4 linked regions of the Notamacropus eugenii genome follow. The protein of the gene in region 2 purifies or fractionates together with the protein of the main gene of each other region. This does not show direct contact. Links are inferred from orthologs where the notes say so. Each region holds a gene or a part of one and is shown on either strand. Other genes may lie near its edges. The genes, in order: SUDS3, SIN3B, SAP130 and GATAD1.

Evidence for each region.
Region 1: the proteins of SIN3B (region 2) and SUDS3 purify together in Homo sapiens (affinity purification with mass spectrometry; 3 studies listed by BioGRID and IntAct, counting the BioPlex papers as one, with this or other methods). This does not show direct contact. The link is inferred for Notamacropus eugenii from reciprocal best matches to the Homo sapiens genes SIN3B and SUDS3.
Region 3: the proteins of SIN3B (region 2) and SAP130 purify together in Homo sapiens (affinity purification with mass spectrometry; 3 studies listed by BioGRID and IntAct, with this or other methods). This does not show direct contact. The link is inferred for Notamacropus eugenii from reciprocal best matches to the Homo sapiens genes SIN3B and SAP130.
Region 4: the proteins of SIN3B (region 2) and GATAD1 purify together in Homo sapiens (affinity purification with mass spectrometry; 5 studies listed by BioGRID and IntAct, with this or other methods). This does not show direct contact. The link is inferred for Notamacropus eugenii from reciprocal best matches to the Homo sapiens genes SIN3B and GATAD1.

What each region holds. Positions count from the first base shown.
Region 1 is NC_092875.1:27,137,288-27,145,202, forward strand, and holds the start of SUDS3 (sin3 histone deacetylase corepressor complex component SDS3), read right to left. Parts: upstream 3,011-7,915; 5' UTR 2,916-3,010; coding exon 2,780-2,915; intron 1-2,779.
Region 2 is NC_092875.1:60,073,448-60,081,392, reverse strand, and holds the start of SIN3B (paired amphipathic helix protein Sin3b), read right to left. Parts: upstream 3,009-7,945; 5' UTR 2,608-3,008; coding exon 2,287-2,607; intron 2,015-2,286; coding exon 1,908-2,014; intron 1-1,907.
Region 3 is NC_092876.1:320,134,667-320,142,501, forward strand, and holds the start of SAP130 (histone deacetylase complex subunit SAP130), read right to left. Parts: upstream 3,007-7,835; 5' UTR 3,002-3,006; coding exon 2,984-3,001; intron 939-2,983; coding exon 821-938; intron 1-820. UniProt on the Homo sapiens protein: Acts as a transcriptional repressor. May function in the assembly and/or enzymatic activity of the mSin3A corepressor complex or in mediating interactions between the complex and other regulatory complexes.
Region 4 is NC_092874.1:47,953,848-47,961,502, forward strand, and holds the start of GATAD1 (GATA zinc finger domain-containing protein 1), read right to left. Parts: upstream 3,011-7,655; 5' UTR 2,782-3,010; coding exon 2,110-2,781; intron 1,961-2,109; coding exon 1,835-1,960; intron 584-1,834; coding exon 524-583; intron 1-523. UniProt on the Homo sapiens protein: Component of some chromatin complex recruited to chromatin sites methylated 'Lys-4' of histone H3 (H3K4me), with a preference for trimethylated form (H3K4me3).

The sequences.
Region 1 (7,915 bases), about 33 Mb from region 2:
GGTTTCTTTTAGCTTTAAGTCTAGGGAACAATAGCAAGTGTCTCTGAATGCTAATTAACAGAAATGCTCAGCCATCCAGCAATAATAGAGGTTAGAGAAGAGACAGAGATGGTCCAAAAACTGGCAAGGAAAAGTATAATACATGTATGTCATACTGATACTAAGCCATACTGAATTTGAAATCAAAAAGGATTCTCACTCAATTTCCAGTTTTGTCATTTCCTAGCTGTGTGACCTTAGGCAAGTCACAACCTGGGCTTCAGTTTCCTCATCTGTAAAATGAGGGAACTGGGTTGTTAATCTCTGAGTTCACTAAATGCTAGCTATTATAGTATTCCAGCTCTAATCTCCATAATCCTAAAATAGCTAAACTTCCTACCCCCAGGTTCTAAATCCAGGAATCTCAGAATTAGAATAACCCTCAGAGAGTACCAAATACAAATGAAAATTCTCTCTACATCATAACCAACAGAGACACCAAAGCCAGAAGACTGCCAGTGTTTCAGATGCTGGAAGCTAGAATAGAAGTCATTCTACTCATGAAGAAGTCCTTAGGAAGTTCTTAGGTAAAAGCCAAATTTGCCTCTTTGCAGCTTTTACCCACTGCAGGGCCAATGACAGGTACTTTGGATATAGTCCTTTAAAGCTAAGGTTTAAAATAAAACAGCAAATCTTTAAGATTTGCAGAGCACTTTACTTTGAGTCACATAATAATACTTCAAGGGACGCATTGTTATTATCCAAATCTTACAAAAGAGGACGGTGAGACAGGCAGAGGCTGAGTGATCTGCCCAAGATCACATACCCACTGAGTGCGAGAAAAAGAATTCAAACTCAGGTCTTGACTTTAAGTCTTATGCTCTCAAAGGTGGGGAACCTGCAGCTTCAAAGACATACATGGCCCTCTAGGTCCTCAAGTGCAGCCCTTTGACTGAATCCAAACTTCACAGAACAAGAAGTTTGGAATCAGTTCAAAAGGTCACACTTGAGGGCCTAGAGGACCACATGTGGCCTTGAAATAGAAAGTTCTCCACCCCTGCTCTCTCAACTGTGCCACCTAGCAGAAGAAATCTAATCTGACTTCCAGGTGAAAGCTCTGCAAAGTATTAAAAGTCATTTACTTATTCACTAAGTATTTATTATACATCTTCCACCAGGCAAGGTTCTAGGGATGTTTTTGGGCTGTGGAAACAATCACCACAGAGTACTCCTGTGAGTGATATCTCCTTCATCAATGGAAACAAATACACAACTGCAGCGGGTCTCCTGCCTCAGCCCCTTGAAATGTGGGCTCCTAGAGGGCAGGGGAACCCAGAACTGGCCCACACAAAACACACTCAAGATTGTTCCTACAACTTAGTCTTAAGAGAGGTGCCTTAAGGCACAGTGAGGTTAAGTGCCCAGGGAAAGCCATCACTAGAATCCAGATCCTCCCTACGTCTTCCCCCCTCTCTGGTCACACAGCAAGAGGCTGGATATTGGTGTCTTCACCACACAGCAAATAATAACAATAATAATAGCTAGGATGGAGGAGCTTCACAAATATTATCTCCTTTGGTCCTCACAACAACCCTGGGAGGTAGATACTACTATCATACTCATCGTTTGATTTTGTTCAGTCATTTTCAGTCTTGTCTGTCATGACCCCATTTGGGGTTCTCTTGACAGAGATCCTGGAGTGGTCTGCAATTTCCTTCTACAGCTCATTTTACAGATGAAGAAACTGAGGCAATCTAAGTGAAGTGACTTGCCCAGGATCACAAGCTAAGAAATGTCTTAGGCCAAATTTGAATTCAGCTCTACTCTAGGCCCAGCATTTTATCTACTGGGCCATCTAGCTTTTGTTTATTTTTCATATTTAAACGTTTCCTGTGGTTTCTAAAATTATTTTTACGGAAATGACATTAGAGCCTTTGTGCTCAAGAAGCTTATATTCTTCTTAACACATTCCCTGTCACGCCAGAACGTAGCACACAGTAAGTGCTTTAAGAAATGACTACGGAGCACAGGATTCTACAGAGGGAAACAATGTTACAAAGCAACTATACAAAGTAAATACTGTGGGGAGGGGCCTAATTTGTCGGGGATAGAAAATACCAGAGTAAATACAAAGTAATTTGAAAAGAGACACCAGCAGCAGGCAGGGGGAAGGGCCCAGGAAAGGACTTCCCCCCCCGGGGGCTTACACCTACCCCTTTCCAGCCCCCCTTATATGGTGTCTCCCCCATTAGAATGGAAGCTCCCAGCGGGCAGAGTGTTTGTTTTGCTTTTATTAGGATTCCTGAGGCTTGGCCCAAGAGCCAGCCGAGCAAACAGCGAGTGTTTAATAAATGCTTGTTGACGACACAATTAGTAGCTTTAGAATTAAGTAGGTAAAATCTAGAGATTCTAAAAAGCTCTAAGGAAAGGATGGGTCTCAGTTTCCCCTGCTGCAAACAAAGGTAACTGGTTCGACATGGTCTCCGAGGTTCCTTCACGGCTCTAGTTTTCATTCGACGATTCTCCAACTTTTCGGTCCCAGGATTAAAATTTGAGGGACTCCCTCCCCCCAAAAGAGTTGTGGCTCGAGTGGAGTCTATCGATATTTACCACAACAGAAATAAAAAGTTTTGACAAGGCTGCCCCCCTCCCATCCCCAGACCACTCTGAGAACGTCTGGACCCAGCCCGAGGCGAGGAGAGCGCACTGCAGGCGTGGGGCCCGACTTGGGCAAAGGCGCCGAGGCTGGACGCCCAGCTCTCTCTCGCTCGCTCCCCTCCCCCGGCCCGGCGGGCGGCACCTTCGTCGGACTCGCGGCCGCGGCAGCTCCGCTCGTCGTCCTCGGCGCTCTCCAGCTCCTCCTCCTCCTCCGGGTAGTACTCCGGGGCGGGTGGCGCTCCGGCCGGGGCCGGGGCCAGCAGCCCGGCCGCGCTCATGGCGCCGCCGCCCGGGCCTGGGGCCGCGGGAGGTGTCGGCCTCGGACTCAGGGACGCGAAGGGAGCCCAGGGAGCGGCCGCCTCGGCCGCCTCAGCAGCCGCCGCCGCCGCCGCCGCCGCCTCCTCCTCCTCCTCCTCCTCCTCCTTCTCCTCAGCCGCCTCCTCCTGAGCCGCCTCCTCCTCAGCAGCCTCCGCCGCCGCTTCCAAGCCCCGCCCCCGGCGCTCGCGCTCGGCAACGGGGCCCTCGCGCGGCTGCTTCCGGGTCACGGGCTGCCCGGCGCGCGCCTGATCCCGCCCGCTCCCTGCCCCGCCCCGCCCAGCCTAGAAAAGCGAAGACCCCCAGCTCCTCACCTGAGTTCATGACGCTTCTCGCTCCCACCTCAGCCGGGTCCGTGCAGACGGCTCTAGCAGCCCCAGGGGTGGGAATCATGATTATGCATGAGCAGGCGAAGCGAGCGGTGCCTCGCGGAGCGGTCAGGACCCGCTCCTCCTCCGCTCCCCGCCCCTCCCCGCCTCTCTCTCCTTGGAGCTCCAGGACGCTCCTCCCCCAGTGGCCACGAGGCGGCGCCGGAGCCCGGGCTGCGAGTCCGGGTCAAGATCACCGCCCCCGCCCCGGGTCTCCAAGTTCAAACGCTTACGGGCGGGAAGCCAGAGGATGGGGCTGGGAGGAAAGGTAACCCGGGACGCCAGCCCAGGAGAGTCTCGGATTCCTGGGGGGTTCGGGGGTGGCCAGACCCCTCTGTGCCCATCTGTAGAATGGGCACGCTGATTCCCGTAGCTGCCTTCTCCGGAGGCTGCGGCAGAGGTGCCAACGACAGGCGCTTAGCTGCTTTTTGCAGACTTCCTAGCGTTTACATAAAGGCTGTCCTTGAAGATTAGAATGGAGCTGGGGAGTCCCGAGGAATCCAGGTTAAGAAAACCAGATTAGACCCATGCGGGTCTAAGATCCCTTCCAGGTCTGGATGTCTATGGAGAGCTGGAAGGGACCTTTAGGCTAATAACTGATCGGGCAAGTATTAAACTCCTTCTGTGTGCCAGGTGCCGGGGAAGACAAGGACACAAAGGAAACAGTCCCTGTCCTCAAGAAACTGACATTCTGAGGGAAGTCAAGTTCATAGCAAAGTAAATAGAAAACGGAGGATGTAAGTAGTGACAGACGATGAACGAACTTCACAAAGAACAAATACCACGTTACTGGGCGCAGTGGATAGAGCACCAGGTGGGGAGTCCGGAAGACCTGAGTTCAAATATAACCTCAAACACTAGCTGAATGACCCTGGGCAAATCACTATCTGACTCAGTTTCCTCTTCTGTAAAATGGGGATAACAATAGCCTCTCCTTTCCCACCCCGCCCCCCTATAATTGTAAAGTGCTTAGCTAAGTGCCTGCCAGATAGTAACCACTATATAAATGCTATCTATTATTATTGGTGTAATTATCATTATGATTATTAATGGGAAGAGGAAGGTGTCCAAGCAGGAAAGGCCTCTTGAAAGAGCTGTCATTTGAGAACACAGCACCCGAGAGGTTCTAAAAGGCTGAGGCAGGTTCTTAGGGAAAGAATAACTGATATTTATGTGCCACATTAGAGTTTACAATGTATTTGACTGACTTTATCTCATGGCAGCCCCACAAGAACCTGGGGAGGCAGATATTCCCAGACTTATTGTCTCCATTTTACATCTATTTCAAGCCCCTCTTTTGAAGAAGAAAACTGAAAGCCCAGGACATTGTGAACTCCTTCAGAGCAGGGCCTTTTTTGGGTGTGGAAGGGTTTCTCTGTATCCCCAGCACTTAGCACAATGCCAAGCACATAAGAGGAGCCTAATAAAATGCTTCTTGACTTGACTGACTTGTCCAGAGACGGTAACCGGCAGAACCTGGGTTCCCTCCCAAGTCCTTAGACTCTCACTTCAAAGCACAGCAGGCCTGGGTCCTCCTGGGCCCTCCCAGCTCTGGCATTCTATCTTCTATGGCCCCACCCAGTGTAGAATCAGAAAAAGAAAATCAAAAGTCTGTACTTCTGATCTACTGCTTTGAATATCAGGCATTCAATACAGGACAAGTAAGAGGTAAATAAATATCACGGCTTTATTAAACAACTCAATTCAAATATTTTCAGCTTAACAGAGGGCAAAGGTGGAGGGGCGGGGCAAAAGGCTAGGAAGGAATGTTTTCCAGATGATTTTTACCAGTAACCAAAAAAGAGAGGATGGGGAGGAGCTAGGTGGCTCAGTGGATAGAGCACCATGCCTAGAGACAGAAAGAATCATCTTCCTGAGTTCAAATGTGACCACAGGCACTTACTAGCTGAGTGACTCTGAGCAAGTCACTTCACCCTGTTTACCTCACTTTCCTCATCTGTAAAATAAACTGGAGAAGGAAATGGCAAACCACTACAGTATCTTTGCCTATAAAACCTCAAATGGGGTCACTGAGAGTAAGACAGGACTGAACAATAAACAAAAAAAAAGTTTCGCCCCCATCTACTGCCCTGTTAACCATACAGCCAATCAGGGTTACCTATGAGATCTTGTTACACTTGTTAGAACAAACTAATGTGGGCATTTTCCTTAGAAAGGAGGGTTTACCTAAAAATTTAAATTTGCACATGAATTCATCCTGATTGCTTATGTTACTTATGACCTATTGCAGAGCTGGATGAAGCAAATATTTGCTGATTCTTTTATTAAGGGGCCCGGAAGGGGGCTCAGATAATTCCAGACCAAACCTTTCATAGGACAGATAAAGAAACTGCTGCCTTGAGAAGAGCTAAGTGGTTTAGCCCAAGGTCAAGGCAAAGCTAGAACAAAATGACACACAATTTACCATGAACATATCTCCACAGATGTTTGCACCAAATTTAGTAAAAAAAATAAATAAATAAATAATTTTTTTTTTTTACTTTATGGAGAGGGGAAAATGAAACAAAGTAATAGCAAAGGCAGGGGTGGAACCCAAGGATTCTGAATTCCCAACCTTGACTCTATCCAGACCAGGGGTGGGGAATCTTCGGCCCTGAGGCCACATGTGGTCCCCTAGGCCCTCAAGTGCAGCCCTTTGACTGAACCCAAATCTCACAGTGATCCCAAAGGGATTTGTTTGGTACAACTTGCACTCAGTCAAAAGGCAGTACCCAAGGACCTAGAAGGCCTCCAGAATTAGAGCTCCCCACCCCTGATTCAGCCTAACTTGGCCTTTCATTGTGCCAAACTTTTCCTCTGTTTGTTTTCAGATTGCAGTTTCATGCCTTATTCCAATGTAAACCCCAGTCTTTTCTGATAGTATTACCAAGCATTTGTCTGCCCAGAAAAGATACTCAAATATAATCTTGTCCAGAATGGGGTGAATCTTAAATTATATTCTAATTTTACAATGTTTTTCCAGGAATTTCTCAAATTCTAACAATGTTACTGAACCAGTGTCAATCTCAGGGCTCACTACCCCACTTCTCTATTTTTAAACTCAAGATTCCAAATTTGACTACAGACTTCAGGAAAAGATTGTGTATGTGTGTTCTATTTGCACCTAAATTCCTCATCATCTGCTTTCATTTTGTCATAAACAACTCACCCGCTCTCCCCAAAGAGGAATTTCCCCAAATCCATCCTCCACACTATCTTCTTGATGTAATATCTCAAGAAATCACTGAAATTCCTCTTCTTCCTATCCTCAACCCAAAACAGTGTTCAAATACTCTGCTAGGTCAGGTTACCTGCCCTCTCCTAAGAAATTCATTTCAATGAAACTTTTGGTACCATCAGTATCTACCTAGGACACTTCCATATCCCCAAATACAAATGTTGATTTAAAGAGGAAGAGAATAAGGTTTAAAAGTAATTAAAGAATGTTTTACATGCCTATACGTTGTTTTCTAAATCCCAAATTTGAAAAGCACGGGCATCAAAAACCAAAGAAACAACCCCAAATGCAAAACAAACACTCTCACCATTCAGACTGCAACGGGCAAATCCGATTAATGGTAAAGACTGTCATAAATGCATACTTGTCAAGGCTAGTACATAGATTGGAATTTATGCCAAAATTGATTAAAAGTAGAGTGTTTCCAGATGAGTCCAAGATATGCTGCAGTGTTACAACTTGAGGATGAGGAGAGACAGTTATTCTTTGACCTATAAAGAAGGGTAGTGACAGGCATTCTATGTTCCATGGCCCCACCCAGTACAGAATCAGAAAAAGAAAAGCAAAAGTCTATACTTCCTATCTACTGTTTTGAATATCAGGCATTCAATACAAGGCAAGTAGGAGGTAAATAAATATCAGGGCTTTATTAACAACCCAATCCTCCCTCCTTCAGCTTAGCAGAGGGCAAAGCAGGGGGAGGGGGGCAAAAGGCTAGGAAGGAATATTTCCCAGATGATTTTTACCAGTAACCAAAAAAAAGGGGGGATGGGAAGGAGCTAGGTGGCTCAATGGATAGAGCATCATGCCTAGAGACAGAAAGAATCATATTCCTGTGTGGAGTCAAACTATATTATGCTGCATTCTGGATTGACCTTTCATTCGTGTAAAGCTGATCTGTCCGTCCCTTTGTCTAGGTATTAGGTGTGCTTTATAAGCAGACAGACAGGACTCCCAAAGTTGTGAAAAGGAGAACTTTCTCAAAAGGAAGGGAGAAGACTCTGGAGGTGGGGGAAGAAAAGAAAGGGAGCAAAAAGGAGGGGAAAGGAGAAAAGAAATGGGAAGTTGGGGAGAGCACTTTCGAATACAAACAACTCTGGAAGAAAAAAATTGGTTACAACATAACTGGAAAACTTGTATATTGTTACAGTAACATTGTTTATTTGGAAATTAAATACAATTTTGCCAAAGGTCACTTACTAGTAACAGTGTTCCTTTCCCATCATTCCTCCCTAACTATGTGGTTGATGACACAGGTTCAAAACTCACAACTTGACAATGACTGATGCTATGAAATGCCACCCTGGGGAGCTCTGGTGACCAGGGTGCAAGGAAAATACGTGTAGAGGAGAGGAGA
Region 2 (7,945 bases):
TTATGAGAAAAGAAAAACATAAGTCTTGAAGAACTACAGAAACGGTACAATGCTTGTAGATACAGATTGTTTCTGTTTTGTCTTGTGTCACAGGTGCCCAGCACAGTGCTTGAAAAAAATTAAGTGCTTAAAATGTTGGCTAATTTGAACTGTATTCTCTTTAAACCCCCCCCACCCCAAAGTGCTGATATTTTACCAATAAGGAGCCCTGAATAGGGGAATACCTCCAACTCTGGAACGTAACTTTTTCACAAACTGGATGGTTAAGGTGGCAATAAAGAACAGAAAGAGTCACTGACTGCCCCCTCCTCACCTATAACACACCTCTAGACCAGACCCCAGAGCCCTACCCTTTCCTTCCCACTGGTGAGTGCAAACTCATCTAACTCATACCAAACTATGCTTCACAAAACTTCTGCTCTAGAAACAGTCACCAAATCAATGTTACCTTGGCTTCTGGAAAGGGCATGATAAGCAACTGCCCAAAGGCTCTGTTCACAGTCCCAGAGATTTCTGACAACAAAACTCCCCTCCCTTGTAAAGCTCATGGGCAACAACTCACTTTTTGCATGTGGACTCTAAGGGCCTAGTACAGTGCTTGGCTAGCACAGTGCTCCTCAAACTAACTCGGCAGAAGGTTAGAGACCAGGCTAAAAAATACCAAGAGGTTTGTCAACATCCTCTAAAACACAGAAGATGAACTAGAAGCGGCTCTGGAGGCCATCAAAGTCCCGCCTCCTCATTTTTCCACAACTCTTCCCTTTGCAACCCTGCCCCAGGCTAACTGGCCTGCGTTCCTGCTGGCCTCCGGGCTTCTCCAACTCTGACCCACAGCCCACAAAATGTTTTCCTAAATTGCATGTGTGACCAGGTCACCAACCCAAAGTCCAACAACTGCCCATTACTTGAAAGACCAAATATAAACTCCTGTTTGCCATTTAAACCTCCTCGCAATCTGGACCCTTCCTATCTTTTCATCCTTCTAACAGATTATTACCTTCCAGGGACTCTAAGGTCAAATCCAACAGGACTCTTGGCTATTCTTCTCATACAGGCAGCTAAGGGGTGCAGTGGGGAAGAGTGTTCAAAATCAGCCGTTTATTAGCTTTGTGACCCTACCAAGTCAATTAACCTCTTTCTGCCTCACTTTTCTCATCTGTAAAATGAGAATAAGAGCACCTACTCCAAAGCGTTGTGAGGATCAAATGAGATAACATGACTAACACTTTGCAAATGCTGAGGCTAGCTATTACTACTACATAATACTCCATGTCTAGAATGGTTTTCTTTTTCACCTCCTCCCTTTAGAATTCCTGGCTTCCTTCAAGACCAGCTCTGGCTGCCCACCTCCTTCAGGTCTTCCCTTCTAAGGTTACTGAGTGTGTACTTCATATGTATCTTGCAGAAAGGCATATATGTACATGTTGTCTTTCCCATTAGAATGTAAGCTCCCTGAAAGCAAGGACTGATTTTGCTTCTTTTTTTTTAGCTCTAGCTCTTAGCACAGAAGCTGGTTTCAGATCCCAAATGTTACTCACATAGCACCTTTTTATACAGTGAGGTAGGCTGGACAGACTTCAACAGCCTCATTTTACAAAGAAGTAAACTAAAGCTGGGAGATATTTCAATGACCTGGCCAAGAATGCACAGTTGGCATGTATTTCAGGCTTGATTTGAACTCAGGTCTTCTTGACTCCCAAGTTCAGTACTTTATCCACTACCCCAGGATGCCTCTCTACCTGTGTGAACTTGGGCAATAGATTTAACCAGTCTCAATTTCCTGATCTTTAAAACGAAGAACCTGAACTGAGACTCAATGTTCCTGAGTCCCCTCCAGCTCTACATTCTGTACTCCTCCACAGTGAGTGAGGGGCCAGGGTCTTACATAAGGACTCCAGCATTATTACCTTTGGCTCTTGAACTCTTTCATGATCTCCAGGAAGCCATTGTAGGTGGCAGGGTCACTCCCAAATCGGATCTTCACCTGATCCAGATAGGAGAGGGCATCCTCTACCTGCAGATACACAGTAAGGTTATGGAAGGAGCAAGGCATCTTGGCCTCCAAGAGTGAATGGGAAAAATTGAAAACCAAGGGGGAGGGTGGAGACAGGAACCACAGAAAGGTGAGGAAAAGGGGATGGGGAAGTGAGTGGGAAAAAACCTGGGCCTGGTCTTTGAGGTTAAGGGTAGCTAGGTGTTGGAGGAGAGGCTAGACTTTGAGGAAGGGATGGGTCGTGGGGTGAAGAACTGGGCTTGGAACAAGGGGAAAGACAGTTAGGTTAGAACCTTAATACATGAAGCCAGTAGAACTCTGGGAGATAACAGCTGGCGGATGGGATCTGAAGGATGGAATGAGGTTGTGAGAGGAAAACGGACCTCAACTTTGGGAGAGAAGGGCAGCTCAGACTGGGGAGGGAGGTAGCAATGAAACGAAAGGGACAACCGACCCCAGGTGGGAGAAGTGAGGCACTGCCAGGATGGCTGCTGTGCCAAAAGCAGGAGCCCATCGAGAGAGAGAGAGAGAGAGAGAGAGAGAGAGAGAGAGAGAGAGAGAGAGAGACAGAGAGACAGAGACAGAGAGAGACAGAGACAGAGACACAGGGACATACAGACAGACAGACAGAGACAGATAGACAGACAGAGACAGAGACAGGAGGGTGCAATTTTGGAAAAGGAGGCCAAGAGTGGAGAGGAGGTACTGGGGCTCTGCTAATGGGGACCCTGTGGCACTGGGGGAGGAGAGGACAAGGATGCTGGCGACTGAGCAAGGAATGGAGGGAAAGGGAAAATGGGAGCGCAGGGGAGGGGCTGTGCGGATGACAGAACGGGCACTGGGGAGAGGGTGTGCAGGGGGAAAGAGGAGAGTGGGGGCACTGGGGCGGGGCTCTGCAGAGAGGGCGTTGGGGAGGGGCTACGGAGGAAGACGGGAAGGGGGCACTAGGGGGGAGGGAGGAAAGACGAGAAGGGGGGCCTTGAAGGGGTAAGGGAATACTGGCGACAGAAGGGGACCCCCGAATGGGGACGTGCAGGGGGAGGGGGGCGGGGCGGCGCAGGCCCGGAGGGGGGGGCGCGTGCGGCCCGTCCAGGCGCAGGGGCGGTGAGGAGAGGGGGCCACGGGGCACGAGCGCCGGGGGGGAGGGGAGGCGACGGTTGCTATGGGATGCGGGCGGGTCAGGAGGGAAGGATGGCGCGCACTCACGTGCACAGGCAGCTTCTCCTGCGCGGTGGGCCCCGCGCGGCCCCAACGGGCGCCGCTCATCCCTCGGCCCCCGGCTCCGGCCCCGGGCCCGGCACCGCCGCCGCCGCCGCCGCCGCTCGCCATATTGGAACTGGGCACAGGAGCGACCCCGCCCCGGGCACGTCAGTGCGCGTGCGCGACGTCAGCGCGTTGGGCCCGCCCATGGGCGGGGCCCAGCGGGCGGAATGCGGGTGGTGGGTGTGAGGCGGGAGGGCCGCCCTGCCTGCCACGAGGCGAGGTTCGAGCTTCTCCCTCGGCCCAGGCAGGCCCCTCGCGCGCCCTGTCCTTCGTGGGCATTGACTGGACTTCGGCGGAAGCCCTGGGCTGAGCTCGTGGTGCCCCCTCCTCGTGACGGCCCCCGGGAGGGGCAGGCCATCAGGACAGAGCCCCCCCCCCCCCCCAGCCACACCTCGGAGCCGGCCCCCGAGCCCGCCCGGCCCGACCTGCTGGGCCAGACTTGGGCGTTGGGGGCGGCTGTGCCCGCTCGGTGGGGGGCTGTCGCCGCCTTCAGCGGGCTTCCGATCTGCACCTCGGGTTCGGTGACGGCGTGGTTCATCCGGGCAGCCCGTAATTGTTCCTTTCTATTAGCGGTCACTTACACGAGCGACACAGAAGAGGGAGAAGCAGCTCAACCGTGACCCCCTGTTGGGCGAGCCTCCCCACCCCCACGCCTCTGGCAGCTCCGCGTGTAGACGGCCCGGCCCGGCCCGGCCCGGCCTGGCGTGGTCCGTTTGGGCCGCAAACACTTACCAGCTGTGGGACCCCTCCAAGGCGCTTATCTTCAATTTCCTCCCCCGTAAAGTGGGGATAACGTGCCTCCCAGGGTTGTCCCCATGTAAAGCAGGCGCTGTATAGATGCTAGCCGTCTGAATCTTGTGAAGTGCCTACTGTGTGCCATTCAGCTTGGCACAGAGCATGCAGAAATATCTTCCAGTTAGGCGGACCAGGATTCAAGTCATGCCTCTGAACCTTACCGGCTGTGGCGAGTCACTTAGAACCTCTCTCTGCCAGTGCCACCCATTTTTCACTTACCCCTGTCTTTTGGCAATCTGGGGAAGTCTATGGACCCCTTTCCAGAATAATATTTTTAAGTAATTGAAGGAAATGCTACATTTTACTTAGAAGTCTCCATCCAAGTTCATGGGATGAACTTAGGAACTCCCTGAGCTTATCCTGGGTATGTGTGAAACCCCTGCTCTGTGATCATGAGATGTAGAGCAAGTGTCTGCCAGCATGGGTAGGCTAGTTGCTTCTTAGGCAGTCCTATACCACTAAAATTGCAGGACTGGTCCGAAATCTTTTAAATGGGTCATCTACTTAGCCAGAGACTGGAGATACAGAAAGAGAAATAAAATAGGCATGTTCCTCAAGGGGTTTATATTCTGCTTGGAGGAAAAGCAGGTACACAGATAAATGTTCAGTCATGTCCAAATCTTCGTGACCCATTTGGAGTTTTCTTGGCGAAAGTACTGGAGTGGTTTGCCATTTCCTTCTCCAGTTGATTTTACAAATGAGAAAACTGAGGCAAACAAGTGACTTGCCAGGGTTACACAGCTAGTAAGTGTTTGAGGCTAAATTTGAACTCGTCTTCTTGACTTCATGCCCAGCACTTTACATATTATGCCACCTAGCTGCCCCGATTTATACATACACACAAATACATATGTGTGTAACACCTACCTGCTGTATCACTTTGCAAATCATAAGGATTCAGTATTTTCCCCTTTAATTTCTATTAAGTGTCAAAAATAAAAAAGTTGGAGTGGAAAGACGGTTATAAATGGGAGAATTGTGCAAAGCTTCAACGGAAATCCTCAAAAAGGATGATGCTCCGTGTGTGTATGTATGTCTCTGAAACTCTTGGCTTATTTCTGGGGATTCTGACTCTTCTGCATCCACAAGTCAAAAATGGCCCAAAGGCATTCTGATAATGAGGACTTGGCAGTTTGCATAGTAGGGATGCCAAAAACACAATCAAAAATAGATATATGATGGCACCCAACCATCTTCTCCAAGCTCTTTGTGAAGTATTTGTTGCCAGCTTTGCCTAGCTTGCCCGCCTGTGTGGATTGTCCAGAGAAAGAAAGGCTATTTGAGGCCCTGCCATTCTAGAGTTGTGAGTTTCCTTGGTCCTGTGTGTTCCCCAAACATGTGCCTCATTACCATTTTATTATGTTTGTGGTCTCCCTTCCTCATATGGTCTCTGTGTCATTTGTGGGAGAGTGTACCTCAGGTATGCAGGGGAAATACCTTGTAGCTGCTGTTCTTGCTATGTTACTGAAGAAAATGTTTTCACTAAAAAGTATTTTTTTAATACCAGGATGCTTTGCTAGGAAGGTACTCAGGTTTGCCTGGGAAATACCCAACCATACTGAAAATGAAAGTTGAGAGCTGAGCCATTACTAAGATGCCCCTCTATTAGGAATTCTCAAAGTTTATGTTGTTTCTTTTTTCACATAGTAAAGCTCCTGGAAAGTTAAAATTTTAGACCTCACCAGAAGTTACTACCTGTCAAAAATTCAGGATTTCTGTTGCTGTTCCTTCTACTTGATTTCATTCAGTAAAATGTGGTCTGATATTTGAGTGAGTGAGACCTTTTGGGCCCTCGACCCTGGCAAGTCACTTAACTTCTCAGGACCCTAGCCAACTCTCTTTAAGACTTCAAATTAAAGCTGATTGGGTAAGCTGAATTAGTAGAGGGAATTTCCTCACTGAAAGTTCCCTAAACCATTAAAAAGTCCTAAAAAGTAATTTGGGGTTTAGAAGGAACATTAAATTCCTTTGAGAATGGGGACAAAACAAGCCAAATAAATGTTGAATTATTGATGGAAATTTTCATATCTTAATAACAGATTAGACAGAACCTGGAGTGAAGCCCAAAAACAATGTCTTAACTCTTTTTGTCATCACCCCTTTGACAGGCTAGTGAAGCTTGTGACCCCTTCTTAAAATCATGCTTTTAAATTCAGAAAATAAAATAACATAGGATTATATAGAAATGAAATGTTAGTGAAAATAAAGATGTACTTTTTTCCCCATCCAAGTTGACAGAACTCTTGATGATGGACTCAAGTTTAAGTATTAAAATGAAAGGCTTGAAGCAAATGGGCCCTGTCAGTTTCCATCTGTTTTTGTGTAGTGGCACTCAGAAACTAGCCTTTCCAGAAAAGACAAGCTTCATTTATGCATTCACAGAAGTGCTAAAAGAGATTTAGGACACAGAACTACAGTGTCCTCCATGGCAGGACTATCTAAACAGAGGTAAGGAGCACCAACTCATGCCTTACCTGATAGAGCATCCTAAAGTAACTCTTCAGTTCCCACTTCCACTTATAATGTCATTGTTAAAGCAAGTGCTCCTATGGAAAGAAGCAAACCCTCCATATATACAAAATAATTTGGGGGAGCAAGGAAAGCACTAACTGGGGGATTCAGGAAAGTTCTCCTATACCTCTTGATGGAGCCAAGTCCTGAAAATAATTATGGATTCCAAGAAACAGGTGAGGAAAGAAAGCACTTGACCCCAGAACAGTCTGAGCCAAGGTATAGACGCAGGAGACTGAATATTGGACATAGTTCCAGCAAGCAGGTGGAATATGTGAGGGGGGAATGATGCATAATCATTATGGAAATAGAGGTTGGAGCTAGACTGTGAATGAATTTAAATGCTTAGCAAATGAGTATGTATTTAATCCTAGAGACAATAGGGAGATACTAAAGCTTATAGAGAAGAGAGACATGTACAATCATACCCGTGTTTAAGAAGATCTCCTTGTTATCCCTGTGGAACATGAATTAAAAAGGTAAGAGACTGTTGCAGTAGTCTACCTGAGTGGTGATGAAGTCCTGAACTAGTATTGGGAAAGTGTGAGTGGAGAGAAAGGAATTATATGAGACTCCTTGATAGTTGCAACTACAGAGATGTTTGGTGTCTGTAAGAATAAAGCACTAAGTCTTCAGCTGTGTTACAGAAATTGAAAAATAATACAATGATATTGCAATCAGAAACCCCAAGTCTCCCTTGAATTAAAGACCTTAATTACAGTCTTCCTTGTGTAATGGTGGTCTAGCACATGCACAGAATGCCTTAGATGCTGTCTCTTCACCTACAGAAGGTTAAGAAACTTGCTTCCAGAAGACATGAAATGGAATTGCTTTGGAGAAACTGTAGAAGATGCATTTATATTCTGTAACTGTAACTCTAAATGTTTATTGATTAATTAATTGGTTCTGATTAACTAGCCATGTGTTGAGGAGGAGACTCTTTGGTTGGCTATGAAGACATTCAGAGAAGCCTCTGAGCTTCAGCAACTTCCTATGTCTAATTTGAGACTCTGCTCACAGTAAGAGACAATCAGTAAAGAGAAAGGTGAGTAAGGCATTCTCCCCTCTAAGGTTTTTTGGCCCTATGATAGGGTCTCAGTCCTTGGCCTCTGTATTTATTCTTTTTTCCTTTTAAGTGCATTCCTGAGATCATGATTGCTACCCCTGCCATTTTTACTTCAGCTGAAGCATAAAAGCTTCTGCTCTGGCTCCTTATTTTCATTCTGTGTATATCTTTCTCTTTCAAACGTGTTTCTCATAAACAACATATTCTTAGATTCTGGTTTCTAATCCATTCTGCTAACCTCTTCCACTTTATGGGTGAGTTCATCCCATTTACATTCACAATTAAGATTACTAATTTTGTAGTTCCCTGAATCCTAT
Region 3 (7,835 bases), on a different chromosome or scaffold from region 2:
CAATGAAGCCCTACTACATTCTTCCCTACCCCTCCCAGCTGTAAGTGTTCTTTTTCTCTCTCCCCTCAAATTTCCTTTACAATACCCATTTGTGGATATGCTGTACCCCCACATCAGGGTGTAAGGTCCATGAGGGTATTGTTGTCTTCATATCCCTAGTACACATCTGAGGATGTGCCTGGTTCCTTTTGCTTTTTGAACTGACTTATGATTTTACTGGTATAGGGAAAATGTCAAATGTTAGCTCTATGGATACAGATTAGCATCTCTTCTCTGACTTTTAGAGTGTTGTCTGGGGCACTGAGAAGTTAAATTGTCCATGGTCACATAGCCTGCAAGTGTCAAAGGTAGGACTTGAACCCACTACCCCAAAGCCTGCTCTTTATCTATTATACCATTATGTTTTCCATCTGGCATATAGTAATCTTTTCATAAATGCTTACAGAATTGCATTTTAGTTGGAGCTTATAAATTTTAGTTGTTTCAATCAATTATAAATAACATGATAATGAAGATGATGACAGCAATCTATAGTGCTTTTGCAAAATGCTTTAAATATTATCTCATTTGATCCTCCAAATGACCCTGAGAGCTATTAAGATTATTCCCATTTTACAAATGAGGAAAGTGAGGCACATAAAGGTCAAGTGGTTTGCCCAAAGTCACATACCTAGTGTCTGAGACTAGATTCAAAACTCAGGCCTTCCTGGCTGCACTCCATCACCTAGTTGTAGAATCTGCCTAATTTTCTGCCTAATTCTGAACACTAAAACTGGCAAGCTTATTAAGGCAAATAAGAGAACACTTAAAAACGCCTTACCTGTAGCTGTTGGGTTTATCAGCCCTGTAGATGCACTGTTGGAAATTTGTGAGGGAGCTTGGCCTAGCCCTGCAGAAGGGGCTCCTGAACGAGGAAACTGTTGAGAACTCATTTCTACCTGCAAAATACAGTCACACTGTTACAATTTGATCTGGAGATGCAGGATGTTACACATATCTACAGTTGGTACCACTGAGTTTAAACCTTAAAATGACATTACCTTAATTGTTAGAATAACTAAATAACTTATCTCAACTAGACAAAACATCAGCTGAAAAACTAAATAATTTTCAAATGGGAAATGCTACCTGAATTTCTATAACCAAGTAGAAAAAAGCTAACAAATTACTCTAGTCCATTTATGTCTATGGTTGTTCAGTTGTTCTGACTCTTCATAACCCCATTTGGGGTTTTCTTGGCAAAGATACTGGAGTGGTTTGCCATTTCCTTCTCCAGCTCATTTTACAGATGAGGGAATTTAGGCAAAAAGGGTTAAGTTACTTGCCCAAGGTGTTACAGAAACTACTAAGTGTCTGATGGTGGATTTGAACTCAGGTCCCCCTGATTCCAAGTCTGGTGCTCTATCCACTGAACCACCTAGCTGCCCATAGCTAAGTTTATGTCTTATCTTTAATCAAATCACTGTAATATTTTTCTCATCATAAAGGGATCTACAGGACCTATCTACTCTGGGGCATGTTTGCAAAAACACTTTATTTTAAAATTCTCCGGGAAGTATTCAGAAATATATCCTTGATAGATATGAAGATAATTAAGTAGTTTTCGGGTTTTTCAAGCCTGAAAAAATTCTTCCAGCATATTTGGATGCCTGCCATTTCAGAAATTCAGCCATTTACTCATGCCAAAAAAGAAATTTTTTTTAATGTCAAAACTAAAATTTTAACATTTTTACTATTACTTCTTACTTTTCCCAATAATTACAATGCAGAATCACAGATCTCAGTGTTGGAAAGGAACTCAGAGCTTGTCTAGTCCAACCTCAACTTAAATAAGAATCCCTTCCACAACATACTCAACAAATGGTCATCCAATCTTTTCTTGAAAACCTCCAGAGAGGGAACCCACTTCCTCCTGAGGTAACCCTTCCACTTTTTCATATAGCTTTTATTTTTCTTCCTTAAATCAAATTTAAATCTGCTTCTTTGAAATTTCTATTCACTATTCCCACCTCTGACTTCTAGAAAAACAAAAGAAGTCTATTCCCTTTTCTATAGGCCAGCATTTCAAATACTTGACACTACAATAATCATGTCCTCCATAAGTCTTCTCTTCTCCAGGAAAAACATCTTCAGTTCCAAAGATGTGCATATGGTAGGATGTTGAGTGTTTCATCAAATAATCTTGTTGCCTTCCTCTAGATGATTTCTAGTTAAAAATGTTCTTCCTGAAAGTGGTGTCAAGAACTGACAATGGCAATTCTCTATGATGAGGCCTGATATGGGTACAATACTCTCACCCCACAGTCTTAGATACCATATCTCTAATAATGCAGCCCAAAATTGCCCTTTTTTGATATCCATACTAGGTTATCATCTCATGTTGAGCTTGCAGTCAACTAAGTCTCTCCCCCAAGACCACTTTCCGATGAACTAGCCTAGTTCTATCTCCCTCATCTTGTACTAGCAACATTTATTTTTTGACCTGAGCGACCTTAGCCCGCCAAGATATTTTGGATTCATCCTTGCAGTCAGTGGATAAGCCACTGCTCCCAGTTTTATGTCATCTATACTTTTAGCTAACTCTTTTAAATCACCTTTAAGGTTTTTAGGTAAGAATTATACTAGCCAACATACAAGACTTTCTGGCATATTTTAGCTTAACACAGGAATTTCTGCAAATAGGCTTTATAGCCAAAAAATTCAGCGAATAATAAAACCTGCTTGGGAAAGACACAATAGAGTCTTCATTAATTGTGATTGTGTGTGTGTGTGTGTGTGTGTGTGTGTGTGTGTGTGTGTGTGTAACAATCAACAAGTAGGTATTCTTGAAACTTTATGGAGTACTCACAGGGCACATGGCACCTCACTAAATGCTAATCAATTAAGAACTCTGCCTTGTCTTTAAAGATTTTTACAAGTTTGCAAATAACAAGAACAAAAGCAAATCATTTAAGGCTTTGCGAGAAAAAATTTTAAATCATACTTTGTATTTTAACTCCATCCAAAGATGTTATTTCAAGCCATTAAAAAAAGGTACTTCCTTTGAACAATCAGAGAAAATTAAAAGGCAGAGTCATTCAGGATTCACTCAGCTGGGAGAAATGGGAATAAAATCTAGGCTTCCCAACAAGAAATATATTACTCTGTTAATTATATCCTACCTAAAATACAACTCTTAACCACCCCATGATCTTATTTCATGTATTTCGATTTGCACTAAGGTACCATAACTAGGTGGGGGATTTTTCTACATTAAAGGAAAGTATATATAGGAAGCACACTTTGGTAATGCACACATCATAGTCAAAGAAATGTGTGTTTTTGAGAAAACCAGCCTTTAGCAATTTCTAACTTGACAGTAAAGAGATTTTATATCTCCATGTCACTGAAAGGTTCCGTGGTGCAGAGAGATATAGAGTCACAGACATCTCACAGCAAGATTTGACCAAAAGGAGATCAGTCAATGGCTCTGTTTGCAAGACCTAGATTTAAAGATTTCCTTTTCCCTTCCCCTCACATTTATTCTAATAGACTCCTCTAAAATCTGTTTCCAAGCACGTTTTAACTCTAAATGCTCAGGTGCTTCCTTCCCCACCCAAACCAATGAATGGATCGGATGACAGGGCTGTCCCGCCTCCTCTCTCTGGGGTGCTCCAGCCTGGCTCTTCCAGCGAGGGAAGAACAGGTTCAGGTCTTCCCAAGATAACTAGCTCCTGTACCCTGCCGCCTGTCTGCCGTCTGCCGTCTGCCGTCTGCCCCAGAAGCTTCTTTCTAGCTCCTGCCCACTCTTTTTTCCATCAGATCCCAGTCCGGGAAGCGGACTCACAAAGGAACCAGGGAGGGAAGCAGGAGGGCCCCTTCCCCATAGCCAATACAGTCTTTCGGTCCCCGTGACACCGGCTCCGGCCCAGCAAACACCCCAGTTACTAGAGCAGTTTCAGTATTTGGTTCCAGCTTTCTCCCCAAGAACCTGCCCCTCCCCTTCCCACCGCCCGCCTATTGGCCCGGCGCCGAAGGCGTCACACGGGCTCGGGCTCCAATCCAGCATCAACCTCGGCGCCCTAGCCCCACCCTCCCATCGAACCTCGACTAATCAAGCTAGGGGCTCTGGCAGGGCTACCCAAATTTCACGACCCCGCGACCAATAGAAGAGGAGAGATGGCTCGTCCAATGAGAAGGGGCGGGGGGGCGGGGAGGGAGGCCCCGCCTTTGCCTGGGTCTGAAAGCGGCGGGCGCAGGTCCCGGATGTAGATAGTCACTTTAAACTGCTCTGTGAGCCAAACTGCCTCCGCCACCGCCCCCCGCCCGGCCAATCTCCCTGTCTTCTACCCATCAAAGCCAGACCCAGAGCCAGTCGGCCCAAGGCCCAGACCCCGCCTCTTTGCCGCGGGGCACCCCAAGCCGGGGGCAGAGGCTCCTCGCAGCTTCAACTGCCGGGACTAACCGCCCTATCCCAGGCTACTGACAGGACCCCACAACTTCCTAAGCGGTGCGATACCTGGCGAAGGACCAAGCCGACTACGCTTCGTCGGGGCCACCTTTCCCAGGGGACCCTCGGCAGAGCGGACGCCGCAACCCTGGCCCGGCCCGGCTGCCCCGCCCCCTCCCCGGATCCCCTCCTCCCGCCACTACCTGGACTCCGAAGCGCGGAGCCGCCGCTCCTCCGTTCTGCCTTCTCCGTGTTGTTCTCTGCCTTTCCTAGCGGCGCCTCTCAGGCGTCTTAGTCCCCGGGGCTCTGGACCCGCCGCGGCGGCCGCGGCTAGCTCTCCTCTCAACCTAGCACCGCCGCTTCCGCCGCCGCACCGAGACGCCCGCCCATTGGTTGGGGCTGGCACCGCCCACCTCGAGTTGAGCCACTGAGAGCGTGGCGTTAGCCAGAAGGTGGGATCGTCAGGGGAGGGATGTCCCAGCCCGGGGTGATAGGGCATTCTGGGTCTTGTAGTTTTTCCTGACAAGGGGGCGTGACTGGGAGGGTACGAGTGGGCGAAAGGGCGGGCACAGCCGCCAGTCCTGCGTCACGCCCCCCTTTGCAGTCTTCCATTGGCTCTAATCGAGCCGCTTTTCACTTCATGCTACCCTCTCCTCCCCCTACCCAACTGAGAAAAGGCGACCGGATCTAGCGCTGGAGCTCCGCCTTCTCCTCCAGGCCCCCGAACCGCGGGCCCTGGATTTGTCACTTGCATGGCGGGCCACGTAAGGGGGAGTGGGGAAGATGGGACTCCAAACGAGCCCCATTCCACGCTTTCCTTTAAAGGGCAGATGGGGAGGTGGGGCTTGGGGTTCGTTTTTAATGTATCCTCTTCATCTCCCGGGATCCGTTGCACGTGGCGGGTGCCTGTCAGCGGGGATGGCCACCCCGGCCCCGCAGCGCTGGCGGCAGAGGCGAAGGATGTCCCGCTGCTCTCGCCTGCATCTCGAGAAAACCCGTTCCCAAGGCGTTTTATCCCTCCTGACCCAGAGCCGGTGTCCTCCACGTTATGGAAGTTCAGTAAAGTTTTCTGCAAGGGGTGGGGTGGGACCGAGAGCCCTGGACGCCTCAGCAGTTCAACACCTCAAGCATCGGCTCCCCGAGGACCGAGGTGGTTAATAACGATAAGGACAGTAGCCTTCATGCAGCGCACTGAGGTCTGCAGAATGCTTGCTAGATACTGACCTCGTTTTATCTTGACCACAGCAGCCCTGGGAAGGCAGGTGCGCTATCAAGTGAGGCAGACGGAGGTTACGTGATTGGCCCAGGATCACACAGCTATTCAGTGTCTGAGGTCACGTACGGACTCAGGGCTGCCTGACCCCAACACCACTTCTCCATCTACTGCACGATAGCGCCTAGTTTGTGTCAAGCACTGTGCTAAGAGCTTTAAAAAAAAATTTTTTTTTTAATATGATCGCCTTTGATTAGGGCAGAATGTGCTCCTAGCTCAGCAGGGTTGTATCCTTGCCGTACCTTCTTGGTAAATATCTCTTTGTAGAAGGTAATTGACATGACAGGCAATTTCAACAGGAACGATGTTGGATTGCAGGGTTTGAAGGGTTTGAGCCAACTGCATTAGAAGGAACCTCTGCCTGAAGGAGAGATGTAATCGGCCGTGTTTTGGGGACCAGTCTGCTAATGGTGATTGAGAAAGTAAATCCAGGATCTTGTCTGCATCAGTGTGCCTAGGATTATAGACTTTTAGATCCAGGAGGGACTTCCAGATGATTTAGTCTTATTTGTTTTATAGACATGGAAAGTAAGGCCTAGAGAAGTTTGGTTACAATTTGGTTACGATCCCATAGCTATGGGCAGAGTCAAGGAGATTCAAAGTCTTGTACCCTTTCTACAACACCAGGCTGTTTCCCTTTGTCTAGGTAGAAACACAGAGAAATAGTGTGGAGCAATTTTAAAGCAATACAGTTATTTCCAATTTTAATAGCTTCTTTCAACACTATCTTTTCAACATTTTACCTGTCACTGTATAAGGAAGGCTAACTTTGACTTTCTGTTTTTACTTTAACTCACTTTTCACTATTCTGTGTCTGTTCATAGTTCTGCTTCCTACTTCTGCACTGATCTAACCCAGTGCTTCTCAAAGTGTGATTTGGGGACCCCAGGAGTCCCTGAGACCCTTTCAGGGGGTTCTCAAGGTTAAAACTTTTCATAATGCTGTGACATTTTAATTTCTAAAAATGCAAAGTGAAATAGAACCAAGAAAACAATATATACAAAGACAGTGCAAGAATCTATTGAAAAAGAATGCTGTGAAATTACACTGTCTGAGCTCAGCTCCAAAAAATATTTGGGAAGGTACTTTTTTTGCAATGGTGAATGATTATAGGTGTGGAATACTACAGATGTCAGACATGTTTTTGCTTTTGCTAAACGTTTTTTATTTTTGCCTTCATTTTTCTTTTTAATAAGAGATGGCAGTTTAGAAGGCAGAGGGAAATAAATTGGGAAATGTAGGTTACATAAACAGAAAAAAAAGATATAAACAAAACATTTTTAAAAGAAAATTTATTCTTTTGACCTATTCCTTGATGCTTGATTTTGCCACATTTAGGTTTGAAAAGCCTACTTTTGTCTAATTAAAGTTGTACTTCCTACTTATACAAGGTGCTTAATAGTTTGTGTTGAAATGAATAGGTGACTCTAGAACCACATTTGTAATAAGTATTAATTAAACTGGAGAAGATGTGGGAAAATTGGAACACTAATACATTGTTGGTGGTGGAGTTGTAAATTGATCCAGCCATTCTGGAGAGTAATTTGGAACTATGCCCAAAGGGCTATAAAACTATCCATACCCTTTGATCCAGCAATAAAGTCTGTATTCCAAAGAGATCATAAAAAAGGAGAAAGGACCCATATGTGCAAAAATATTTATAGCAACTCTTTTTATGATGGCCAAGAACTGAAAATTGAGGGGGTGCACATCAATTGGAGAATGACTGAACAAATTCTGGTATATGAATATAAAGGAATACTATTGTTCCATAAGAAATGATGAGCAGGCAGATTTCAGAAAATCCTGGAAAGACTTACATGAACTGATGCTGAGTGAAAGGAGCAGAACCAGGAGAATACTGTACACAGTAACAGCAACATTGTGGGATGACCACCTTTGATAGCCTTACCTCTTCTCAGCAATGCAACGATCTAACGCAGTCGCAAAAGATTCATAATAGAAAATGCCATATCCACATCCAGAGAAAGAACTATGGAGTCAGAATGCAGTTTGAAGCATACTGTTTTTTTTTTCTCTCAGTTTTTCCTTATTGTTCTGATTCAACTATCATAATATGACTAATATGGAGATATGTTTAATATGATTTTACAGGTATAGCCCATATCAGAT
Region 4 (7,655 bases), on a different chromosome or scaffold from region 2:
ACACTTCTCCACTTTTACCTTTCTGAAATAGGATACCATTTGTTCCAGTAAAAATGGAAACTCTCTTGTGGTCTGGTCACTGTCTGCTTTTGTGGATGATGCAGCACCCTAACATTGGAGGACAGCCCTGTGCACCTCTGAACTGACACTTCCTTTGTTTCTCCTGCCTACCTGCCATCATACTTCCTTATTATATCTGCTCTACAGTCTCGAAATATACACTTTCATTTTTAGTCAACACCCACATCTGTCTCCTAGAATTTAAAAATGTGTCCCCATATCTGAATCTTCTCAGAAAACTTCTATCCTGTTCCCCCTTAACACTAGGCCTGGGGAAGGGTCCCCTAAACTCAGAATCACCTTTTTAGTGGAGGGAACATTTTATCACAGAGATATTTTATAAAAGAAAAAAAGATCATTTCAGCTTCAAACAGCTAACTGTGCACATCTTGATAAAAAGCAGTCTTAAATAGCACCTTAAACAAAAGACTGAAGCCTTCATAGAGAAAGAATTCATGTTTACCTTGTGAAATATTGATTCTGCAGTAATGATGGTAGAAACTGCTTCAGGAGCTTTAATGGGCTAAAAAAAAAAAAAAGCAAAATCATCACTTTTTAAAGAGAGATGCTAGGGACATTTTTTAAGCCACAGAAACTAGTACAAGAGTTTGAGTAGCTGGGATTTTGGAAGAGCTATAAGGTACAGAAGGAAGCTCTCCCGTCCTACAAATGCAGATCTACAACTATTCTGCACTTTCTGTGTGCTAAGTACTTTACAAATATGACCTCGCTTGATCCTCACAACAACCTTGGGGGTGAAGTGCTTTTCATTACCCCCATTTGAGGACACTGGGGCAGACAAGTTAAGAGACTTGCCCAACAGCTACTGAATGTCAGTCACATCTGAACTCAGTTCTTCCTGACTCTGGGCCCAGCACATTCTGTACTCTGCTGCCTCCCAGCTGCCCTACATGGTCGTATCGGGGGATTATTCTGTTATTTGTTCAAACAAGTTCTTCATAAGTAAATTTTTTTTAAAGGAAAAAGACACTGTTCATTGACACTGCACGTAGAAGATGACTTATAAAAGGACAACAGCCAAGTAAAATGCTTTTCCACGACATCCTGCAACTCCTAGCAAAATTCAGTTGCCGTCAAGGAAAAGATGGAGCTTCCTCAACCTTAACTCAGGGAAACCAGGCAGTTTTCATAACTTTATACTCCCTGCATGTTGCACCAACAAGAACCAGGAGCAGCCTGTGGCTTCTGTGGTCTCTCGTTACTAACATCCTTAGCAGAACAGCTCCTCAATTGGACCTCAGGAATCCGTGTGGGGGTGCACTAGGCAAACATCTCATGTCTGCAGAAACCCCCTGGTGAGAGGGTGGCTACGGGGGGCTCCTCTGCGGCAGCCCCAGGCCTACGAGCCGGGTGCGGGGCACCGGCCTGCCAGGGTTGTCGGGGATCAAATGAGGTCATCGGGCCTGGCACGTATTACGCCTAGGCGTAAAGCTTACGTCGTAAAGAATATAGAGATACTCTATGCCAGATGTTATCACATATATGTAAGCGCACAGCGCACATGCACACCAGAACCACATGTGCACACAGACACGTGCTTGTACATGTATGCACACTACCTGCATACACAGATGCATCAGTCACACACGCATGCGCATATGTGTGCATACACGGACACGCGTACACCTACACACGTCAGAACGCGAGGCACGCGCGGGGGAGGGGGGAGGAGGGGGGGGGATTCTTTCCCCTCCGCCCCTCCCCCCTTCCTCCTCCCTCCCCGGCCCGCCCCAGGCAGGGCCACCCGACTCACGTTCTTCAGCTTGAAGATGTGCCTGCGGCCCTTGCCCTTGGTGGACACCTTCTTCTCGGCCGCCGGGGCCGACTTGTACTTGGTGTTGCGGAGGCGCGCCGAGCGCCGGTGAATCTCCTGCTTGCTCTGCCGCGGACACATCAAGGAGCCGGCGCGAGCGGCCACCGTTAGCCGGCGGGGGCGGAGGGCCCTGGCGCGGGGCCGCGCCTCGAGCCGACCTCCCCGGCCCCGCCCCCAGGGCCTCGCCCCGCCCCCGGCCCCGCCCCGCCGCTCACCTGCTTGCCGCCCCCGCCGCCGCCATTGCTCTGCTGCGAGGCCGCGGCCGAGGGGCCGGGGAAGCCCGAGCCCGGCCCGCCGTGCCCGCCGCCGCCGCCGGGCGCGCCCCCGCCGCCCGCCGTGCCCGTCCCCGCGCCGGACGCGCCCCCGCCGCCCGCTAGGCCCGCGGCCCCGCCCGCCGCGCCCGCGCCCGCGCCCCCGGCGGCCCCCCCGCGGCCCGTGCAGTGGTTGCAGAGAATCTCGCCCTGCGCGCCCTTCTTCCACATGGACGACGACGTGGTCCGGCACACGCTGCACGTGGGCTTTAGGCCCAGCGGCATGGCGGCCGACGGCGCGGGCGGCCCCCGGGGCCTCAGCGACACGGGAATCGCGACCGTGGGGCCGACGCGCCCGTCGCCGTGGTCGCCTCGGCCGGCCGGGAGGAAGCGGGGAAGGAGCGGAGGTGCCCGGGAGGCCTGGCGTTCCGGGGCTGCGGCGGCGGGCGGGCGCCCCCTGCAGGTCGGAGGACTCGCTCGGCTGCGCCTCCCTCCCTGCCTGTTCCGCCCCCTTCGGGCAGCCACCCACCGGTCACCGAGACCCTGAGGGGCGGGGGGGAGGGGCAAGGAGCGCGGGATTCCAAGCCGAAAGACCCGGGTTACAATCCCGGCCCTGCCCGCCCTGCCCGCTGTCATCTCTGCGACCCGGGACCGCTTTCCCTCCGCAGGCCCAAGATTCCTGGTCTGTGAAAGCCTGGTCCCGGTCGGTCCTGGGCGGACCCGGTGGCCTGGACGGCTCCTTCCAGCCGCGGGTGAAGGAGGGCCGCTCCAGGTGATAGTTACCCTTTTCCACGCCAGTGACCTCTACCACGCAAGCCGGGCCGCGAGGAGCATTTATTACACACCTGCTGTATACGGGGCGCTAGGATCCGTGCCGGGGATAGAAATGAAACAAAGCAATCTCCAGGACACACGTGTTTCCAGGATAAACACTGCGCAGGTAGACACGTGGGAGCTAGAGAGGAGGGCCCGGCCAAGTCTCCGTGGAGACGGGGGTGCGCAAGGTGTGTCCCGAAGGGTAGGTGAGGAGAGGGGTGGACCGCAGGGGGTCGGCCCAAGGGCAGCGGTCCGGAAGGAGGCAGGTGGGGCTGCCCTGGAAAGGAAGGAAGGGCTTCCCTGGTGGCTGGGGCTGCGGCGAGTCCCTGGGGTGTCGGGTGGCGGGGTCCGCGGCGGTGCCCCGCTGAGAGGCCAGCAGTGGGTGTGAGATAGAAGCGGGGTGGGGGGAGATGACGGGGTCCTTCGTGAGCATGTTGAGTGTGACAGGTCTTTGGGACACGCAGGCTGAATGCCCAACGTGCAGCTGGTTGTTGTGGGCATGGAGGTGAGCCGAGGAGATCCCCAAGACTTACCGCGTTTAGGGGGTGCCGCTGGATGACCGGGAGAGAACGGTGACTCACAAGGGGGAGGAGGCCTGAGAAGAGCCCAGCGGGCTGAGCTGTCCGGATCTTACCTGGTAACCTGGATGATTACCAGGGATTCCGGAGGTTGCTTTTCTCCCGAAGTCCGGCCCAGAAAGGAGAGAGGCAGCGAGCACCAAGCCCCGGCCAGGGGGAGGTCGAATGACATTTTTTGTAAGCATGGGAGAGGCTTGGGTGTGCTGAAGGTAATAGGAGAGGAGCTAGGGAGAGCTGGAAGGTGGGGGAAGGGCACAGTTGAGGTTGTAGCCTGCTGGAGAATGGGGAAAGAGTGGGGTCAGCGCACACAGAGAGAAGCTGGTCTTGGTAAGGACGAGGGCCACCTCATTGTCGGGTTCTGGAGATCCTTCCATCACATGGCCAGGAAGAGGACATGTGGAGTGGCCTCTGTTTGCTCAGCTGAGAAAGGTGGGGGAGGTTTAGGTGTGGGAGACTGGAGAAGGGAGAAGGGAATCCCCTGAGAATAAAAGCATTCTCTTACTGCATTCAGCGAAGTTGAATAAGATACATGTATTAGATGAAGAAACTGAAGCCCGGAAAGGGGCACTAGAGCACTCAGCAGATACTCACCTATACTTCTGTACAAATTTTGTGTAGGTGCATTTTACAACTGCCACTGCATCGTAGGAATCACAACTCTGAATGGATCACCAGTTGCACCCCAACTGTCCTTAACAAGAATTTAGCACAGAGCTTTCACATAGAGGTGGACAGGAGGGATGTTTTGATGACTCCTTTTCTTCTTGCCCTTAACTTCCCTTTTCCACGTGTGGGTGAGTAAAGACTATTTTCAGGGTGCTATTCAGCCATCCTCACCTCACTTTATGATTGCTAGACTCAGTTACTTCTGAGTTTTCCTGGATTGGGAAATGGGAGATAGGCAGGTGAAGGATATCAGAGAGGAGGGGGAAGGCTGGTAGTTGTTCTAGACCAGGGATTCTTAACTTGGGGCTCTTGTACTTTTTTTTTTTTAATTTATGATAGCTATATGGTAGTATGATTGATTTCTTTTGTAATGACATGTATTTTATTTTATGCATTTTAAAATATTGTTCTGAGGAGGGGTCCAGACAGCCAAAGGGGGTCAATAAAACGCAAAGATTAAGAATTCTTGACGTAGACCAAGATTATAAGTTTCTTGAAGGCAGGGACTGTCTGTCTTTTGCCTCGTTTTGTATCTCTAGTGTTTAGCAAGGTGTCTGGCATATAGGAGATACTTAACAAATGTTTATTTATTGATCCGTAGACTTGTTGTACTTGTTCCAAGAATTGTTGATCACAATATAAGTGACCTGTCATCCCAAATACCTGCTGTGCCAGGACCGGTGGATTGTCCTCTAATTCCCCTCCATAAAAAGTCTTTCTGTTCATGATTTCATCAAGAATATGTCATTACAGACTAACCTGAGACTGATAGATCAGAAGAATGCTGTAGGTGTAGTTTATCTAGATTGTAGAAAAGCATTTGATAAAGACTTTCATGATTTTCTTGTGGACCACATGGCAAGATGTGAGCTAGATGATAGTATACACATTGGAACCAGTTGAATGGCTCTATCCTAATAGTACTCCTGACTGGTTTGATGTCTCTTAGAAAGAGGTCTCCAGTAGAGTGCCCCAGGGATTTATGTTGGAGGGATTTATGTTGGATTCTTGGCTTCTCATCCATAACCATAGCATATGTGTCAAACTTCCAGATGACACAAAGTAGGAAGGATACCACACTAGACAAAAAGATCTTGGCAGGCTAAAACATTGGACCAACTCAAAATTTAATAGACAAGGGGTAACTACATGGTAGAGTAGATAGAACACTGGGTCTGGAGTCAGGAGGACCTGAGTCCAAATCTGGCCTCAGACACTTAGTAGCTGTGTGACCCCGGGCAAGTCACTTGTCCCTGTTTGCCTGTTTCTTATGTGTCAGATGAGCTGGAGATGGAAGCAGACCACTCCAGTATCTTTGCTTAGAAAACCCCAAATACAGTCACAGAGTCAGATATGACTGAAAAACAACTAAAACCTAATACAACATTTCTGTATTTAAAACTGTATTCTGCTTTCTTATATAATTCTGTTTGACTGTTTTGATAAATAGTTATCTTCTGTAGGAAAGGAAAAGCAATCAGATGCTAAGATCGCTGTCTCAGATCAGTTATGGCAATGGAACGGGAGGAAACCACTGTCAAAACTGTATGTTTGCTTTGGTTGTTTTCTACAATGCAAGTGACTTGACCTTAGAGTTAAGGGTCTTTAGTGTCCTTGGTGGCGGTGGCAGTGAACTGCTTTATGTTATCTTACTTGTTTGCTCAGTTATGGGAAGAGGAATTTGGGAGACGGGAAAGAATTCAGAGGGAAGGAAGAGGAGAGAGAAAGATGATATCTTGCTATTTCCTTCCTCTTTGGGAGCCTTCCTTGTCTTTCCAAAAGCCAAAAGTGTTTGTACTCGTGCGATATGTGTCTACTGAACCTCACAGCAAACATTTTCTTAATTAGACAGGTAGTAGTGTGGCTAAGTGGTTAGAGCACTCAAACAACTAGGTTGGAATCAATAAGTATTTATTAAGCACCTACCTGGGGCCCTTTAGGCATTATGCCAAGAAGGAGGCAACCCCTAGTCTCTTGGAATTTATATTCTAACAAAATCCAATCTTGCTTACTTACTTACTAGCTATAAAGATAAGGTAAGGTAAGACCTAGGTAAGTTACTTTAACGTGGCTGCGTTTCAGTTTTCATATCTGTAAAAGTGGAAATAATAGCAGCACCTGTTGAGATAATGAGCTGATGCTTGTAAATGATTTACCAGTCCTAACACTCTCTTTAAACATGAACTTTAAGGAGGGATTACTTCCTTTCAGCTGTCTAGTTGCCAAATGAGTCAGAGGGCATTTGAGTGTGAATTCAATCTTTTTCATTTACTTTTTTATTTTAGGAGTGAATCTACCAGTCTCATCTAGGCTGGAAGGGCAGGGGCCACTTATGGACTCAGGCTCAATACTGATTGTCACAGAAGCTTTAACCTATTCTGTTGTTTTTTCCCCCCAGATCTGGGCCAGTTAATCAGCTTTAGCCCCTCTGTAGCTCTGAACTCTCAAGTTCAGTTAATCCACTGGCCTCGGCTTTCATGACCTCACCAGTCATCCCACCTAGCTGGTCCACTCCTAAACTATAGGGATGAAGTCTTTTCCTGTTCATTCTCTTAGCAACAACTCTGCTATAAGATAAGCTACACCCCATATTTTCCCATAGAATACCCCAGAACTAATTTCTAGGATAACAGTGCCCTTTAATGTAACACAGAAGGAGAAAACTGAGAAAGAAGTTGGGGGAAAAAAACATTTTAAAGTTGTTTCAGTTGTCACATAAAGTGGATCAAAATTTTCCTCTTAAAGACTTGAAACACTCTGCAGCATGGAACAATTTAGTCCAGTGGTCCTGGGTCTTCAGAATCTAATATCCTTATATTCTTATCTTTATAAGCCATTGATAGCAAAAAGCCTACTGTGGAGTGTTGGATAGCCCCATTAGCTATGTAATCAGTCCCTTCTAAACTCCGTTTCCTCATCTGTAAAAATAGATTGGACTAAAAACAGGGGTGAAGAACCTTCATCTTCAAGGCCACGTGTGACTTTCTGGGTTTTTGGGTATGGACTTTTGACTGAGTCCAAGTTTTACAGAGCACATCCTTTTATTATTCTGTGAAGTTTGGATTCAAGCAGCTATACTTGAGAATCTGGAGGGCCACATGTGGCCTCGAGGACATAGGTTCCCCACCCTTGGACTAGATAGTCTCTAGGGTTTTTTGGAGCTTTAAATCTGTGATCCTGTGACCATCTTCTGTGTGCTTCAGGTACAATAAATGCTAATCCAGTCCTTGTTGACACAAATGTGAATCTCCTAGGGGATCCTCACTTGGGGCTTGATTTGGAAAGAAAGTATGATCCAAGTGACTCCTATTTTATATACCCTGGATGGGTTTCTCTTATGTGGGAGGGATAGCACCTTCCTTGCTACTTGAGAGGTAAAAGGCCCAGCCCTGGGGTGGGTTGGTGTCAGAGGGTTTAGAATAATTCCCACTGCCACTGGGGAGCCCTTTC